3 linked regions of the Arabidopsis thaliana genome follow. The protein of the gene in region 3 interacts with the protein of the main gene of each other region in a pairwise test. Each region holds a gene or a part of one and is shown on either strand. Other genes may lie near its edges.

Region 1 (5,019 bases), on a different chromosome or scaffold from region 3:
TGTAGAAGATATACCTGCCATTGCAAAAAATGAAGGTGAAATGCCTTCCTTAGCAAGGACCAACTCAGACTTGGCCGCCTCAGAAGGGTCAGGCTATTTCACCTATTGAATCTTTAAGGTAAATTTTCTACGAGACTACTCTCTCTGGTGCTCGAGCTTTTACCGTGGTGTTTGCAGCCTATCTTATGGGTTTTGAGTGTCTAAAGTGATTTTCTTGATGAGCTTCTTCTCCTCACAGGGACCGGCACAAGATTTACTTGAAGCAGATTTATATTGCCATTGTATGATGCATCCCTACTTAAGGAGTTTCGTGTAAACTGGTCTCACCTATGTTATCTCTATCATTTAAAGTCCAAAAAGAATGAAAAATGTTGTCAATGATGTTTTACATGTTTTATATCAATACTCAGTACATGTTTCATCAAAAATAACAACTTCAAATCTAGTCACTTGAATAAGTACGAACACAAAATTGCTCGATTCTAGTTGTTAGGAGATATCGTCGTCATCATGTTTAGTTGATTATGATGATAAGTAAAACATATGACAACAAAGTTTTGCTAAATATAAAAAGTGAACAAACTCATGAAGTTGGATATCTGTAAATTATTTTTCATAAAAAATAAGTATTTTCAGGACACAACAAAACAGGACAAAGATAAGAAACTTATGAAAATCTACTCCTTTTACTAGGGTTTTAAACCAAAGCATCATCAGAAGAGGAGGCAGCCAAAAAGCCTTCAATAAAGACAGAATGATCCTTGAATCAAACATGATGAAATTGAAACCAATGAGCAGAAAAATCTCTCGTTTAAAGATTAGTCCATGTACCAAACGTGATGAAACCAAAGGAATGACTATTGCAGATGGCGATAAGTGTTTATCCAAGTGCCCACCTCAAACAAAGCAGAGACGTTCTACATACTCTAAACTATTCTACACCGTAAGACAAGTTTCTTCGAAGCCTGCCTGAAAGGTATTAAATACCTGCCAGAGTAGCAAGTGCAACTCCTCGGCCATTTTAAGTTCAAGAAAAGCAAGACCAGCAATCATCAGAGCCGATGAAGTTTTCAAACATAAGAGCATCTAGATGAGAAGCAGAGTAGATGTGAACTAACATAAAGATCCCAAAGCAGGCCGATCAAAATAACCAAGAAGCCAGAAGCAGTTAAGCAATGAAGCAGAAGTAGTGGTAAACAATTATGAAGATCCCAAAGTAGGCAGATCAAAATAACGAAGAAGCGAGAAGCAGATAAGCAATGAAGCAGAAGTTGTGGTAAACTACTATGAAGATCCCATAGCAGGCCGACCAAATTAACCAAGAAGCCAAAAGCAGATAAGCAATGAAGCAGTAGAAACCTGAAGAAACCTCGAGATGATAGAACAAAAAACAAAGAAAATGCATAGGTTTTTAGCAGAGCTTTTGTTTATGTCTTTTAAGAACATGGGTAGATATTTAAAAGTACTTTACCTAACGGCAGATACAACTATGGCTTCATAATCCAAACGCAATAAGAAGCTTTCCAGCAATTCAAAAGTAGCAAGCATATCCAATCCACCACACAGCTAAAACATATTCTCTTAGTGAAATTCACAGATACTAATTTCCTCTCCTCTTGACGTCACAAGCAAATAGTTGTCTCCTGATCCCATAATTTGCTATCTAGACAAGTAACACTCAGCTCCGGCTTCTGCGCACATCTTTCAGACCATTTCTGCATAAACAAATACAAAAACTTATCAGCCACATGGACTCTGTTTTTTAACACAACGTCTAACAAAAAAGTCTTTGGGACGATAATGCCACTAGTTCAGTTTCAATTTCTTATATTGATTGAGATACAGTAGACTCAAGAGCAAGGGGAGTTTTACCCATTAGCATATGGCACCTCGTCACGTGCTCTATAAGGTGGTGGTGACCTACTGTAGTTGCGACCACGAGGAGAAGGACTACGACGTCTTGGAGGAGGAGGAGATCTAGCACGAGGGCTGTAACTTCTGTGAAACCAAAAGACAAGGTAATAAATCAATGAGGTAGACCAATTTCTTTTAGTTGCAAATCGTCAATCAGAAAGAATAGGGACAATAACCTTCGTCCTCCATAGGTAGGACTCTTTCTGTATCTAGGAGGACTGCGACTACGGCTGCGGCTACGACGCCTACCACCAGAACCACCACGAGAACGACATTCACGTGCAAAGTGACCAGACTCACCACACTCATAGCACTTCAAATCAGAACCACCACGTCCACGACCACCATCACCTCCTCCACGACCACCACCACGACCTCCACCACCACCACGGTTATGAGACTGCTCTACCCTCCATCCATTCTTGCCTACCATAACAATATAGATCATATATATATCAAACTCATAACAACTCATAACAACTCATAAAACCAGACCAGTAGAATAGAAGACCAACGAATACCATCTACTTCACGGATGGCGTCACGGGCATCTCTTGAATCTTCAAAATCAAGAAAAGCGTAACCAGGAGGTCTTCTAGCAACCCAGACACTGCACAGACACCAAAAGAACAATGAGGATAAATGCAAATTCACACACTTTACATCAACTAAAAACCAAAAAGGAGTCAATTTATGTACCTCCTGATCACACCAAAGGAACGAAACTCATCCTCGAGTTCACGTTCAGTAACTCGCGGATCCAAATTACCAACATACACACGCGACATCCTCAAGTTACCTATCAACAAAAGGCTTCAATTCAAAAACTTTGAAAGCGATGAATTCAAAAAGATGAAATCTATAGATCGAAACTACGAATGAATCTGGAGTAAAGAAGTGACAACGGAGATCGGGATTTACCTGAAGAAACGGCTTTGGCTCTTTCTCTTGCTCGTCTGTGAGAAATTAGGGTTATCGATTCGAAATTGAAGATGAAAGTTATTTTTTGTGGGTCAACTTTAAATGTCCTTCAAAAGTTATTCCTTGATTTGGGCTTAAAATGGGCCGCATGCGATATGGTACAGTAACAATAATGCCTCATATTCATGCAATTACTGATTATAAAATTAAAATGTCAGATGTTAAATAATAATAATTCAAAATTAAAAAAAAGCTCTCAGCATATAAAAGGAATTCAAAAAAAAAATGAGTATCACTCTTAAGTATTTATACGATTTTCAAAAAAAGTTGATAAAACTTACCGAAAATACAAAAAAAAAAGAAATTGAAATCTACATAAATCCCCAAAAACTACAACACAACACAAGGAGAAAACACTAAGAAAACACAAGCGAAAACTTCACAAGTAGAGATCCTGAGAAAAACACTGTTTCTAAACCCCAAATTGAAATCTCGTCGTAAATTCAAATTTTAATTAAAAAATATAAAGAAAGCTCTTTTCTATGTCCACTGAATATTTTATGTAAATGAAGAAAGCTCTTTTTATGCTCATACTTTTATGTATATACTAACCCATACATCTCAGATGATGAGGATGAGAGAGGAAAATAAAACTTAAGAGGGAGACTATTTGACCCAAAAAAAAAAAAAAAAAAAAAGAGAGAGACTATTACCTCTAGTTTTTGAACTAAGTGAAGAAAACTATTTCGTTCAAATTTTTATTTATAATAATAATTCACTCATTAAGCATCACAAATTAGACAATAGATGCATCAGCCTATTTGTAGGCCTAACCAATCCTCTACTTTATTCATCGGAATCGATCACTAGATATATAGTCGATAGGCAAACAAAGATATAACCATAAAAACCAATTTTGACACTATTATTTATTTGCGTAATGCTAGTAGGTGTGTACAAATGAACATAATTATGACCATGACAACGGCATGGTAACCACTCATGCCTCGAAGTTCACCTTCTGCTACCAACATATTTCCATCACATCATCCTAGCATTATTAAAGAGGCTAAGATACAACCTTTTAGCTCTTCTAATGCTAATAATCCTAGCATCATCCTAGCATTATTAACTGAGTGCATCTTTAGCTCTTCTAATGCTTTTTCTAGAGAAGAAATGGTTTGAATCACCCTTATTTTACTAATAACATATTTGGGTTTAAGATGAGTTTCTAACTTAAAACCAATTGGCAATGAAACTAATCATTTATAAGTATATTACTTGATAATTTTTCTAATTTTCGAGTGTAACTTTCTCTCATTAACAACTAACCATTCGATTATTTTAAGAACTTTGGTTTTGATACGGTTCAGTTTGGTCAGTTATTAAAATTATTGGGTTTTTTTGCCCATGCCTATATCTCCCAAAATCACAATATTCAAATAAAAACTTTTACCACTTGAACCATGGTTCTAGTTTAGAATGGTTTGTTTGGAAAAGACAATAGAGGCTAAATCGTAATTTTGTGCTTTATCACTTATGAGTTTCACTTTTAAATCAGTCACTTAACAAAAACCGGACGTGACAATATATTATGTCCAGATATTAATTTGGGATTAGCCTATAACATCCAATCATTCCCAAGAGCAATGATATAATTTTGTAGTTTTTTATTTACTATTTAGTGCGCACCTTTCTTGAACCAAGACTCCATTCAGTGACAGGATTAGATAAGTATGTGTGTATTATTGAAATGTCGTCGAGAGTCCACTTGAAGTTTGAACTATGACGACAAGAATTATTCCTTTTCTCTTCTTTCTATTCAGATGGAGAGAAGCTCACCTCAAGATTTTTAAAACGGCACTCAATTACGACTTATTTTGAGAAATAATTAATAAAATTTATAAATTATTACGTGCTCTATTTTATAATTTTTCTCTTTTTTATAGGTTTTAAGACATGAAACACTGCTTCTATGTTTTTTTTTTGGTAATCAACACTGCTTCTATGTTTGGTGAAGACATCTTGCAAATGACATTACATAAATCATAGAAATTAGTTTCGATGTTATTCTAATTAAATCCTAAAATATGGACAAAAAAGAGTGATTCTATTGTTCAAAAAGAAAAAGAAGAGTGATTCTAAAATTATAAGCTAAATATCGATTTTAGAATGTACAAGTTG
Region 2 (5,300 bases), on a different chromosome or scaffold from region 3:
GAAAATCTTTTGTCCTTTGAGGACCTAGAAAATCTGAAACTTGCAGAAGATTTAGCGAAAACATGCTTTGAGATGTATGAAGTAACTGCCACTGGCCTTGCTCCAGAAATTGCTTACTTTCACACAAAGGTAAGTTTTGTGTGTACTTTTTTCCAAAACGTTATTGTCATCCTTGCTCTTCTTGTTTTTTGTTAAGTCTTGGATTTTAATAAAGCAGGATTACACTGAGGATGGTCTTGATGGTGGGAATAAGAGTTCTATGTATGCAAATGACATAATCATTAAGCCCGCTGATCGACATAATCTACTGCGCCCTGAAACTGTTGAATCACTCTTTGTCCTCTATCGTATCACAAAAGATACAAAGTATGAAAACTATTCATCCGATTTTCCCTCACTAATCTAAGTTCTTGGGGACTATTCTACTCTTAAAGCTAACACATTTCTAAAATTGCAGATACCGAGATCAAGGTTGGCAAATTTTTGAAGCTTTTGAAAAGTACACAAAGGTGAAATCAGGTGGATACACATCATTGGATGATGTAACAGAAGTGCCTCCTCATAGAAGAGATAAGATGGAGACATTTTTCCTTGGTGAAACATTGAAGTACTTATACTTGCTCTTTGGAGATGACTCAGTGATACCATTGGATAAGTTTGTTTTCAACACTGAAGCTCATCCATTACCAATAAGAAGAAACACCTGAAGGCTTAGTTTTGAAGACTACTCCAGACAATACACACACACACACACATACACAAACTTAAGAGAGGGTATGGAGAAAGTGATGTATAGTACACTGCCAATTGGAGAAGAAGTTAGTTCGTTGAGGAAAAAAAGTCATAACTTTCAATGTAAGATAAGCTTCTGCATCCAAATTATAACTTAACTCGTAAAAGTTTTTGCTTGTAGTAGTAGGTTTCTTGAGACTAATATTCTCTCTTTTCGTTAAGCTCTCACTTGGCAAAATGTAATCAGACACAATTGACATGGAGATGAATTATGGTTTTAGTTTTTTATACATACCATTTACACTGCAAGATAAGATCATTCTGATATGACTAATAAACCTTTAAATTTGAGATCATTTGGTCATCTTAGCTCTTTGTAATCTGCAAGGTGTTGCATAGAACATAATCGACTTGAAGTATGTATGAAGACCAAATTAGGCGCACACACACAATATTTTTTTGTAAATCTCCAAACTCATAACTTCATAAAGGGCGACAAGATCATGTATAAGTTACACACTTAAGTCTAGTTGTCAACAAAAAAAGATTAGTGACACAAAGAGACATCAATCACCCAATAAACTGAAACCACAAGAACCCTCAGTAACTGAATATGACACCATTGAGACAAGGCCGAGCACAGTGGAAAGGGTTTAACAAGTGTGGTTGCAACTGAGTAGCTCAATCAAGCCTTTGCTTTTCCTGCCTGGATAGTTTGTAGCCTTTGTTGTAACTTCATTATCTGCAAATATTTTGATTCCATAAATTGAAACCATAGGATCATTATCACCATTTAAAAGCCAAGAAAGTGCAGAAACAGCAAATCCTCATATTGCGCCAAGGCCAGTAGGCCACTCAACGAGACAGAGGAGATAACAAAGTTCAAGTATTTACTTTCCGGGCAGGCTTAAACTGACAACAATAGCTACCAAAGTATCTTTTTAGAGCTTAGTATACTGAGCATCAATGTTTGGACTATTATTGGTGTAGCAGTCCTAGTATCACTAATTCAATGCACTCAAAGAAGTATATAAATGCATGAGAGGCAGATGTCTTACCGTTTCTCTCTTGTTGTTTTGTTTTTCTTCCATATCTTGAAGAATTGCATCAAGCCGTTTCCTGCAAAGGATACAACAATATTCTTGAGGTCACAACACTATAGCTCAAACACTTTATCAACATCTCTCATAGTTGTTACATAGCTAGAAGTGAAAACATTTTAGCTACTTATGAACAGCAATCACTCACTATTAGCCTAGAAAGAAAGAAAGGTTCTTTATTTACAATAACAATCCCAAAATAGGTTTCTCAACGAACTGCATTTGCTTCAATCACATTAAAAGAAAAGAAACTCACAATTCAGCAGAGATGTACTCAATTCGTTTACGAACATTTGCATTAGCTTCAGCCAAATCCTGCTTCACTAACACCGGACCAATCAATTTGTAGACGTTAGCATCTTCTTCCAGCAAATCTAACTCCTGTAGATACAAGACAGACACATAAAAAGATTAAAGCCAATCAACAATCGAAATAAACTTCTCTTTTCAGTTGAAGTAGCCACAAAACTCAGATTAAACAGTGAGACATGAACATATACCTTAAGCACGAGCTCATTCTCACCGAGTTGGATCGTATACTTCTTTCTCAGCTGATGATTCTTCCCGATATCTGAAAATATGAACACAGAAAAGTAGGGTTTCCCGCCTCCAGAAACAAGAAAAGAATCAAATCGAGAAAAGTTACGAGAATCTACGAAACTTGCCTTTCTGGATTTTGCCGAGATCATTAGCCTTGTTTTCTAGGTCTCTCTGCAAATCACGAACAGTCGATGAACTCATCTTCGTCGTCGTCGTCTGCTTCTTCCTCACTCCGGTGGTTTATTGAAAACTCGCAGATCCACCAAGGAGCAGTAACAAAACTCCGTTAAAGCCCCCGTGTTTTAGTAAGGCCCAAAACCGTATTAACTTGGACTTTTTAACGGCCCAATATGCTTTTCTTCTATTATCAAGCCTAGTTTTAGTTACATACAAAAGAAAAACACTATTTATCACTTGGTGACGTAATATCTTCTAGTTCACTGATCATATCAACACTGAACATAACTCTCATAAACACAAATTTTTACTTTTCGTCCCTTTATACCTCAATCTATAACGGGAAAAATGTCGTTTAATACGTGAACTTTAAAAAAATGGTCATTTAATACGTGAACTTTATATATGGTAAATTAATACATACAAAAATCGTTGACTGGCCATTTTACACAAACTTAATCGTTGATCAGGCCAAAATCTACACGACGTTATCTGACATTAACAGACCGATAACAGCCGTTAACTAATCTCTGTTAGTTTCCAATACGACGTCATTTCGATTATCGCAAAAACGGGAAAAATGCCATTTAATACTCCAACTTTCAAATTATGGTCATTTTATACATCAACTTCACATATGGCCATTTTATACATGAACTAAACGTTGACCAACAGTTTAAAAAATGAGAATGTGTTAACCAGGCCAAAGAGACATACCGCTATCTAGGCCTAGGTATTTGAATAAATCCAAACCGAATCCAAACAAAAATCTGAATATCTAGGTCTAGATAGCGGTATGTCTTTTTGGTCTAATCAACGCATTCTCATATTTTAAACTATTGGTCAACGTTTAGTTCATATATAAAATGGCCACATGTGAAGTTGATATATAAAATGACCACAATTTGAAAATTGGAGTATTAAATGGCATTTTCCGTTTTCGCGATACTCGAAACAACGTCGTATTAGAAACTAACGAAGATTAGTTAACGACTGTTATCGGTCTGTTAATGTCAGATAACGTCGTGTAGATTTTGGCTTGATCAACGATTAAGTTTATGTAAAATTGTCAGTCAACGATTTTTGTATGTATTAATTTGCCATATATAAAGTTCACGTATTAAATGGCCAATTTTGAAAGTTCACGTATTAAACAACATTTTTTCAAATCTATAATAGTGAAAAGCCGAAGATTTTACAAAGACATTTTTGTTGTTGTCAAACTAATAATTCACTCCACAGCCTAAAAGAAATAGAGTTGGATCAAAAGTAAAGTTGCCACTTTAGTCTCGCATCTAGCACAGATCCAATGAGAGGGAAAAAAAAAGAGAGAACCTAGGTCAATACTAAAACTTATTCCATCGTGGCTCTACTAATTAGAACAATTAAATACTATGTTACAGTAGAAACATTTCTTTTACTTTTTTTTTGTTATGCGTGCATGGAGTTTTGTCTGTAAAGAGCTTTAAATATAGTGGAAATTAAATGTTGAGAGTTAAAAAAAAAGAAGAAAAAAAAAGACAAGGAGTGAGGAATCTTGGATAAAAGGACACTAACCTTCCCTGTCTTTGCTCGCTGCCCGAAAAGAACATACAGAAAGACACTTTCACATTTCACACTTACAGAGAGAGAGAAGAGAGATAAAGAGAGCATTTAGATATCTTGAGGAAGACGAAGAAGAAGTAGAGGAGAGATATGGTTCCGAGCAACAATAGATGCAAATGGAGTTCCATTTTCTTGTTTCTGCTCAGTGTCTCCGTTGCCGTCTTAGTCGCCGTCGCTGACGACAAGTCTCCGGCGGTTGAGGATGGTACGCTTTTCACTTACCTTCATCAAATTTCTTTGTTCTTTTCTGGTCTCTGCGTGATTGGTTTTTCTCAAAAATGCCATTTAAATAAGAATCTTGTGTTATCAAGATTTGGTTTCTTGAATCCAACCCATCTCTGTTTCAAGAACAGAGGACCAAAATAATTTAGTTTCAGATGATTGATTTAGTTTTTATCTGGATTTTGAGTGTTTAGATTTTTGGGGGTTTTCCTCAATTTCACTTCACTGTTGCTAAGATTTTTAAGTTGAGTTTTCTTCTTTACTAAAGATTAGAAATCTGTTATGTTAATGTCTAGTTTAAGTAAGTAAACAGTGTTAATCGAACCAGTAATGCTAATCTAGTTAAGGTTATCTCATAGTCAGGGGAAAAACTGTCAACTGAATTTAATCCGTCACAATAGAAAAGAAAATGAAAGTTGTATGGGTCTATTTGTCAATTAAGTATAAAGTATCTTATTCGTGCTTTCAGCGGCGGCAAAATTAAAAAGGAAGCCCTTCTTAAATCTTCCTTAGCTTCAATTAACAAATAACAAACACACACCAACAAAACCCTGAGAACTCTTTTTTTTTTTTTTTATGTGGATATTAATTTAAAGATCTGATTTCATAAAGAAAGTTGTTTAGGTACTTTACTTTCTAAGAAATTATTTGATTAAAAAATTTACCAAAAAAAAAAACCACTTGAGTAGGATTCGCGCCAAATAGTAGGTGGTCTTTTGGTCGTAGTATTACAAAACGACAAAGAATACTTGATAAAACGACATCCAAGTGTCTGAATACTTCTCTAGTTTTTCAACACGCTTTCTTTTGTTTTTCCACCGAAAACACAACAATTGTCTCTTGCTTTCCCCTATTAGAAGGGGCATTTTTAACTTGTAAATTGGGAACTGTAGAGTGTAAACATAAAAATTAGTAAATAGTCAA
Region 3 (6,041 bases):
TGTCTTCTTAACAAGGTTCTTAGGGAAACCTGTTAATTTGTATATACAAGACCTCATTTCCTTGTCTCCACGATCTGGCAATCAATGTTAACATAACGAAAAAGTTAACATATCAAAAAGAATCAAAACCGAAATAAGAAAAGTTAACATAACAATAAGATATGTGTAATATATATGTGTTTTATTTTATAACAATAAGATATGAATAATAAAGAGACTAGGGAGAAAATTTTCTTATTACTTCTCTTGTAATTGACGTTTTGGTCATGAGAAAGAATTGAGGAACAAATGACATTTCGTCTTACGAATGTGTAATCAAAACAAAAATGGTTTACTCACAAAATGACCGGATGTGGTCTACTTAATCAAGAGTTATTGGAATATATATATATATTGTGAAGGGTATAGGAGAACATGGAAGAGTCACATGGATATTAGTACTAATTACTAAAGAATCCACAAAACAAAAAATAATAATTACAGAATTAACGATCATGAAAAGTTAATGATAACTAAATAGACCAATATATACAACTTGTATCTAAAGCAAACACCTTTTGAAATTAACCCCTATTTAAGATCGAATATATTTTAAGATAGACTCGATGTGATATGATTTTTTTGTTAATTGTTTCCGAATTATGCTTTAACACTCTAAGAGTTTGAATAATTGCGGCGGTTGGAGTGGACAAATCCGTTTAAGGATTGGACTGCTTTTTATACACCATTTATAAACCACAGTTCATTTTTCTACTTTTCTGGATCCATACTACTATAGACTATAGTTTATGAATAGAAGATAATCTACCTTGTCATTTATTCCAATGCCATCGTCGAGCTCTGCGAGATCGAACGTGTTATTCTTCATGCCCGCATGTCATTTATCAAACGTGGCCTCATCTCAATCCTCTACATGGTTCAAGTACAATTATAGGCTATGGTTTTGATGGTCCCAAGTTACAATTATGACATCTGAGTAATATCGTGGCTGTTTTATTTGACACGTGTTATCATACACTCCTTAGAGCGAGCACTTGAAAACATTGGAAAACAGTAAAAACAAGCACTAAATCTTTGTCAAACGTTGGACCAAAAAGAGCTTCAACAAAATAATTACATTGTCCATTTTTAGATAAAATATTTATACGTGGTCGATTTCCTAAATAACAAACTTCATCACAACGCAAAAGAAAATAATCCACGAGTTAAGTAACAAAAGACATTGCATAAGAAGCCATACTTAGTAGTATACAATGAGCCAAGGCTCAAAATGACATTTACATAAAACCAAACAATCCTAAGCCTCTCGGGTTTTTAGTAAAACCTTTCCCTTTGCATCGGCCTGGTTCTGACCCGAGAGATATCGATATCACCTAAAGACAAAACCAGTTTCAGTAATCGCAAAGGTTTTTCTACAACCAAAAACCCAATGATTTATATCGAATTTTTACCGGGACGCTTCAGCTTATCGCGGATGATTTCCGCTTGATCTAGGACGTCCAAATCTCCTTCTTCTTCTTGGAACAGGAGTAGAAGCACCGCCTGCATCATTCTGCAAACGAAACTCTTCATCATCGTTGTTATTGCGCTCATCTTGTAGACCCAATAGATTCTCCCCCCAAAGGTACGGCCTATCTGAAGATGAACGCCGATGATTCCTCCATGCCCTTGACCTGTGGGATCTTGATCCACCACCACTCCCACTAGCGCTAGAACCTCCATTGTCAAGAGAGCCAATCATCTGAAACAATAGTAAAGTGGTCCAAAGGTCGCTCCCACCATTTCCCGTTTCCCTCTCACCTGCAAACCTATCTCCGTTTTCTATAACATAATCTCCTACTACAACAGCACCGGGCATGGCAGAACGGATTGCACTGACTATATCTCCATACTCCCTCTGGTTCTCAAGCCGCCTCCAAGCTCTCTCTCTTGATGGATCAGTGTCTGAAGGACGAGTTGTTGGGTGAGTCCTCCTGGCATGGCGGCGCAGATCCTGGTAGTTGCCAGTAAATGAGCAGGATTCTCGGGAGCAACTTCGGTTCTTATGATCAAGATACGTTCTTACTTCTTCTACAACCTTCCATCCTAAAACAGTACCCCGGCATAGAGGACATTTCAAATTTGTGATATCTTCTGACTCAACTTCTTCCTCAACTCTCCTCCTCCTCCTCAGTGATTCGGAATCCCAAGAAGAGCCTCGGTTTCCAGACTCACGGTGAAAACTGCTTCGACTGGCTGTACCATGCTCGTATAGAGATTCGTTATTATGTTCCCTTGAAGCCAAGTTCGCCTCGGGAGTAGGGTCATTTGCGGATTCAGAATGCAATTTCTTAAACCGGTCAAGGCAATTGGAATGTCGGTAACTGGTATCACAGATGTAGGACCTGCAACCTTTGTCATGAGAGCTGCACAGCAGTAGAACAGCATTATGTGGGTGATCCATGCAAACAGGACATGAAACCTCATCCAGTTCTTTGTGAAGAGCATGAACATCTGACTCGGTACTTAATTTTCGCTTTACACCAGCCATCTTGTTAAGCACTGTGTAAGCTACTCACGCATCGAGAAAGTTAGAAACACTGAATGAGGTTTATAAATACTACTTTTTTGCCAAAAAGGGAACATTGCAAGACCAAAACCATCGCTTAATATCAAAACTTCAAAACAATCATGTAGCAGCAGAACCAAAGCAAGAACAAATGAAGATACACCAAAAACAGAAGAAATAGATATCTTATACTGACTCATCATAGTCTAGAAACTAGCACAGAAACTAAGCATACCAGAGGAATCTTAACCATCACAAGAAGCAACGGATTGTTAACTTCACAAAGAGAGATAGTTGGCTGAAAACAAACTTACCGAAAGGGAGCAATCTTATTAGCAGCCTGTTGAAATACTACTTTATTACTGTTTAAGCACTGAACTTTCACTTTAAGATGCAGCTCAAATGAAAACACAGACGAGGCAAACGGTACCAAACAGAAAATCCTCGGAAAGTCTGAATGACACAAAATTCAGTATAAATAACTAAACCACTATTCTCCTTAAGCCTCAGGGTAACCCAAATGTCCTAAAACCTGCACAACAATCCCAAAAGAGAAGTAGGAATCAAACTTAAGAAAATTATCACATATGTTCATATAAACCACTGTCAAGTTAGTAATCATGCAACTAGTGGCATCATCATAATAAACTAAAACCTATAACCAATGACAAGAAATAAAAAATTCAATCTTCCACTACAATATACAAAAGCCGAGATTTAAACAAATCTAAATCATCAGTTCAATACAAAACCATAGAAGAAGACCGTTTTGGCATAAATTAGAAAAAAATTCAACTTTAAAATCCCCAAAGTTCAAAAACAACAACAACCCAAAATCAAAGTTTCAATCACAAGTAACAAGAACATCTGGAGAATCTAATAAAAAAAAATCAGATTCTTATATTCCTCATCATATAATTTCATTTTAACCCTAAACCACCAAATCAAATTTCACAATTTTTCAACGACAATCAGCGGCAAATATATCAATCCTCAAAACCATATCTACCAAATCTCAAAAGGGTTAACAAAACAGAGATCCATCAGAGCAAATGATTTCGATCAAACGTATAACAAAATCAGGTAAAAAAAAAGACGAGAAAATTACAAATTGGAGTATGTTTTCGTCTCCAAGGATTCGATAATCTTTGTTTCTCTCTCGCTTATTTGAGAGATTGGATTGATGAAAGATGCTGAGATTTAGGAATTGGGTTAGGCGAAACAAAGGAGAATCGATGATTTTGATTTCTCCACTTATTTTTATTTTTATGGTTTTTATCACAAAAACATTTGCACTTGCGTCTCTTTAGTTATTATATTATTACCACAAACGACGTCGCTTAATCTGTGTCTCTTTTAGTTATTATATTATTACCAAAAAACGACGTCGTATATTTTCCGTCTGTTTTAGTTACTGTATTATATTATTATCAAACGACGTCGTATATTTTATTTTATGTCTCTTTAGTTATATTATCTAAACGATGTCGTATAATTCTTACGCCGAGATGAGTTATCTTCTGAAGACGTTAACGACGAAGGAAGAGATTGATCGGGTTATCAGAGACACCATTGATGAAGTTCTTGTTTTACGATTTGGTCGTTCCTCCGACGCCGTTTGTCTTCAGCATGATGAAATCGTATTCAATTCGTCTCTCTTTGAATTCGATTTCTCTAATTTCGATTAATCAAAACCCCTAAAGTTTTCGAATTTTTCTTTTCAGCTTGCGAAATCGGTGAGAGATGTTTCGAAATTTGCTAAGGTAGCTTTGGTTGATGTTGATTCAGAGGATGTTCAAGTGTATGTGAAGTATTTTGATATCACGTTGTTTCCTTCGACGATCTTCTTCTTCAATGCGCATCATATGAAATTGGATTCTGGGTAATTAATTAATCTCTTGTTCTAGTAGCTGATTAAAGCCGGTTTAGGTTGGTTTATGTTAATTCCGGTTTGGTTATATTGTAGAACTGCGGATCATACTAAATGGGTTGGTGCATTTCATATAAAACAAGACTTTATTGATGTTGTTGAGGTAACAAGAACAATTCAATTTCATTAATTCCTAAAAGCTTTTAAAGAGTTGTTACTAATTTAAATACTCTGTTTTTGTTATTGTGTTATGTATAGGCTATATATCGAGGAGCAATGAAAGGGAAGATGATTGTTCAATGTCCAATACCGCCAGAGAGGATACCAAAGTACCAGCTCGTGTACAAGGATGTGTAGACACTAAAGTTTGTTGTGCTTACAATGCAAAATCTGTTTCTCATCTTCTGTGTTGGCAATAATATTTACATTTGACATTTTGAGATTTACAGTTATGTTTTTGTACAAAGTTGAAGAATGAGAATAAATATGCAGATTTTTCGATAGATGTGAAAATGTCGATGAACTGACCCGTCGTTTTCTTGATTTCTGAAGTTTTGAAGTCAGGGTTTATTTTCTCTTCTTTTGCTTTTAGTGACGACTTCCATTGACATGGACCGAAGTCGGCATGTTATTTCGGTGAATGGAGGACGAGAATCCGGGTCGACAGACCAGCATTGTTCCATCAGCTTTTTCCATTCCGGAGAACAGCTTTTTGGTATAGGAGGTCGAAGTGTGTTCTTCACGATCCCGCCTTAAAAAGAGGAAATAAATGAGCATAGAGTGGCTTTTGTTTTGAGGTAAGTGAAATTGTGAGTGATGGTTTTTGACTTACCAATGATTGCTCCACAATGCATATCTGCATAGGGTTCCTCTCCGGTTAGAATCTCCCACAGCGAGATTCCATATGAAAAAACATCAACCTGTTCAGATCGAAAACAAATGTGAGTTGTGTTGTTAGTGAAACTAATAGGATAGTGGTTGGATTAGTTTACTTTCTCAGAAACTCGGGTGCTGCTTCCGTTCAAGAGTTCTGGGGCCATCCATGGAAGAGTTCCTCTCACTCCCCCAGATACTAAAGTGTTACGTTTGATTCTAGATAAGCCAAGATCTCCCACCTGTAGAAATCAGAGTTTCATACTTAAGTAGCAGTTTCTCAGGATTCTCAGTCTATAGGGGAAAACGATCTTCATCAATATATATGTTACCTTGCATATAGGCCGTTGTGGATCCCTTAAATTGACAAGTAAGTTTTCGCATTTGAGATCAAAGTGGACGATGTTCTTCGAGTGCAAATACTCCATGCCAAAAGCAGCATCCATTGCAATTATTATCTTTTTCCGAGTGTCAAGCAATCTGCGTTGGCATTCTGGTGTGTTAAATCTCTTTCAGATCCTGAACGCTAAGGGAAATACAAAAATGCAGTGATAGGTTAAGTAACCTGTCCTTTTTGAGAAGAGCATGCCTGAGTGACCCATTCACCATGAACTCTGTAACAGTTGCCAAGGTTCCTCCAGTTCCATCAGGCACTATACCGTAGAATGCAACAACGTTTGGGTGATGAAGATTTGAGAGTATTTGTGCTTCCCTCCAGAAATCTTTCGTCTGATAAAGCAATACAGTTAA

The links.
Region 1: the proteins of AT3G24740 (region 3) and RSZ22a interact in a two-hybrid assay, tested with the Arabidopsis thaliana proteins (one large-scale study listed by BioGRID).
Region 2: the proteins of AT3G24740 (region 3) and PFD6 interact in a two-hybrid assay, tested with the Arabidopsis thaliana proteins (one large-scale study listed by BioGRID).

The regions. Positions count from the first base shown.
Region 1 is NC_003071.7:10,447,520-10,452,538, reverse strand, and holds RSZ22a (RNA recognition motif and CCHC-type zinc finger domains containing protein), read right to left. Parts: upstream 2,909-5,019; 5' UTR 2,836-2,908; intron 2,714-2,835; 5' UTR 2,703-2,713; coding exon 2,614-2,702; intron 2,525-2,613; coding exon 2,436-2,524; intron 2,341-2,435; coding exon 2,091-2,340; intron 1,999-2,090; coding exon 1,873-1,998; intron 1,716-1,872; coding exon 1,679-1,715; 3' UTR 1,355-1,678; downstream 1-1,354. Other genes in the region: AT2G24600 (Ankyrin repeat family protein), read left to right, coding at 1-109. UniProt on the Arabidopsis thaliana protein: Probably involved in intron recognition and spliceosome assembly.
Region 2 is NC_003070.9:10,504,939-10,510,238, reverse strand, and holds PFD6 (prefoldin 6), read right to left. Parts: upstream 2,707-5,300; 5' UTR 2,574-2,706; coding exon 2,498-2,573; intron 2,404-2,497; coding exon 2,333-2,403; intron 2,214-2,332; coding exon 2,089-2,213; intron 1,852-2,088; coding exon 1,791-1,851; intron 1,475-1,790; coding exon 1,418-1,474; 3' UTR 1,088-1,417; downstream 1-1,087. Other genes in the region: MNS3 (alpha-mannosidase 3), read left to right, coding at 1-129, 218-366, 458-707; AT1G29980 (choice-of-anchor C domain protein, putative (Protein of unknown function, DUF642)), read left to right, coding at 4,245-4,359. UniProt on the Arabidopsis thaliana protein: Binds specifically to cytosolic chaperonin (c-CPN) and transfers target proteins to it. Binds to nascent polypeptide chain and promotes folding in an environment in which there are many competing pathways for nonnative proteins.
Region 3 is NC_003074.8:9,028,886-9,034,926, reverse strand, and holds AT3G24740 (cellulose synthase, putative (DUF1644)), read right to left. Parts: upstream 3,850-6,041; 5' UTR 3,657-3,849; intron 3,653-3,656; exon of another isoform or gene 3,081-3,652; 5' UTR 2,863-3,080; exon of another isoform or gene 2,551-2,862; 5' UTR 2,531-2,550; coding exon 1,466-2,530; 3' UTR 1,452-1,465; exon of another isoform or gene 1,374-1,451; 3' UTR 1,083-1,373; downstream 1-1,082. Other genes in the region: AT3G24730 (mRNA splicing factor, thioredoxin-like U5 snRNP), read left to right, coding at 4,033-4,188, 4,273-4,430, 4,515-4,581, 4,677-4,775; AT3G24715 (kinase superfamily with octicosapeptide/Phox/Bem1p domain-containing protein), read right to left, coding at 4,979-5,169, 5,251-5,338, 5,411-5,533, 5,624-5,771, 5,857-6,020.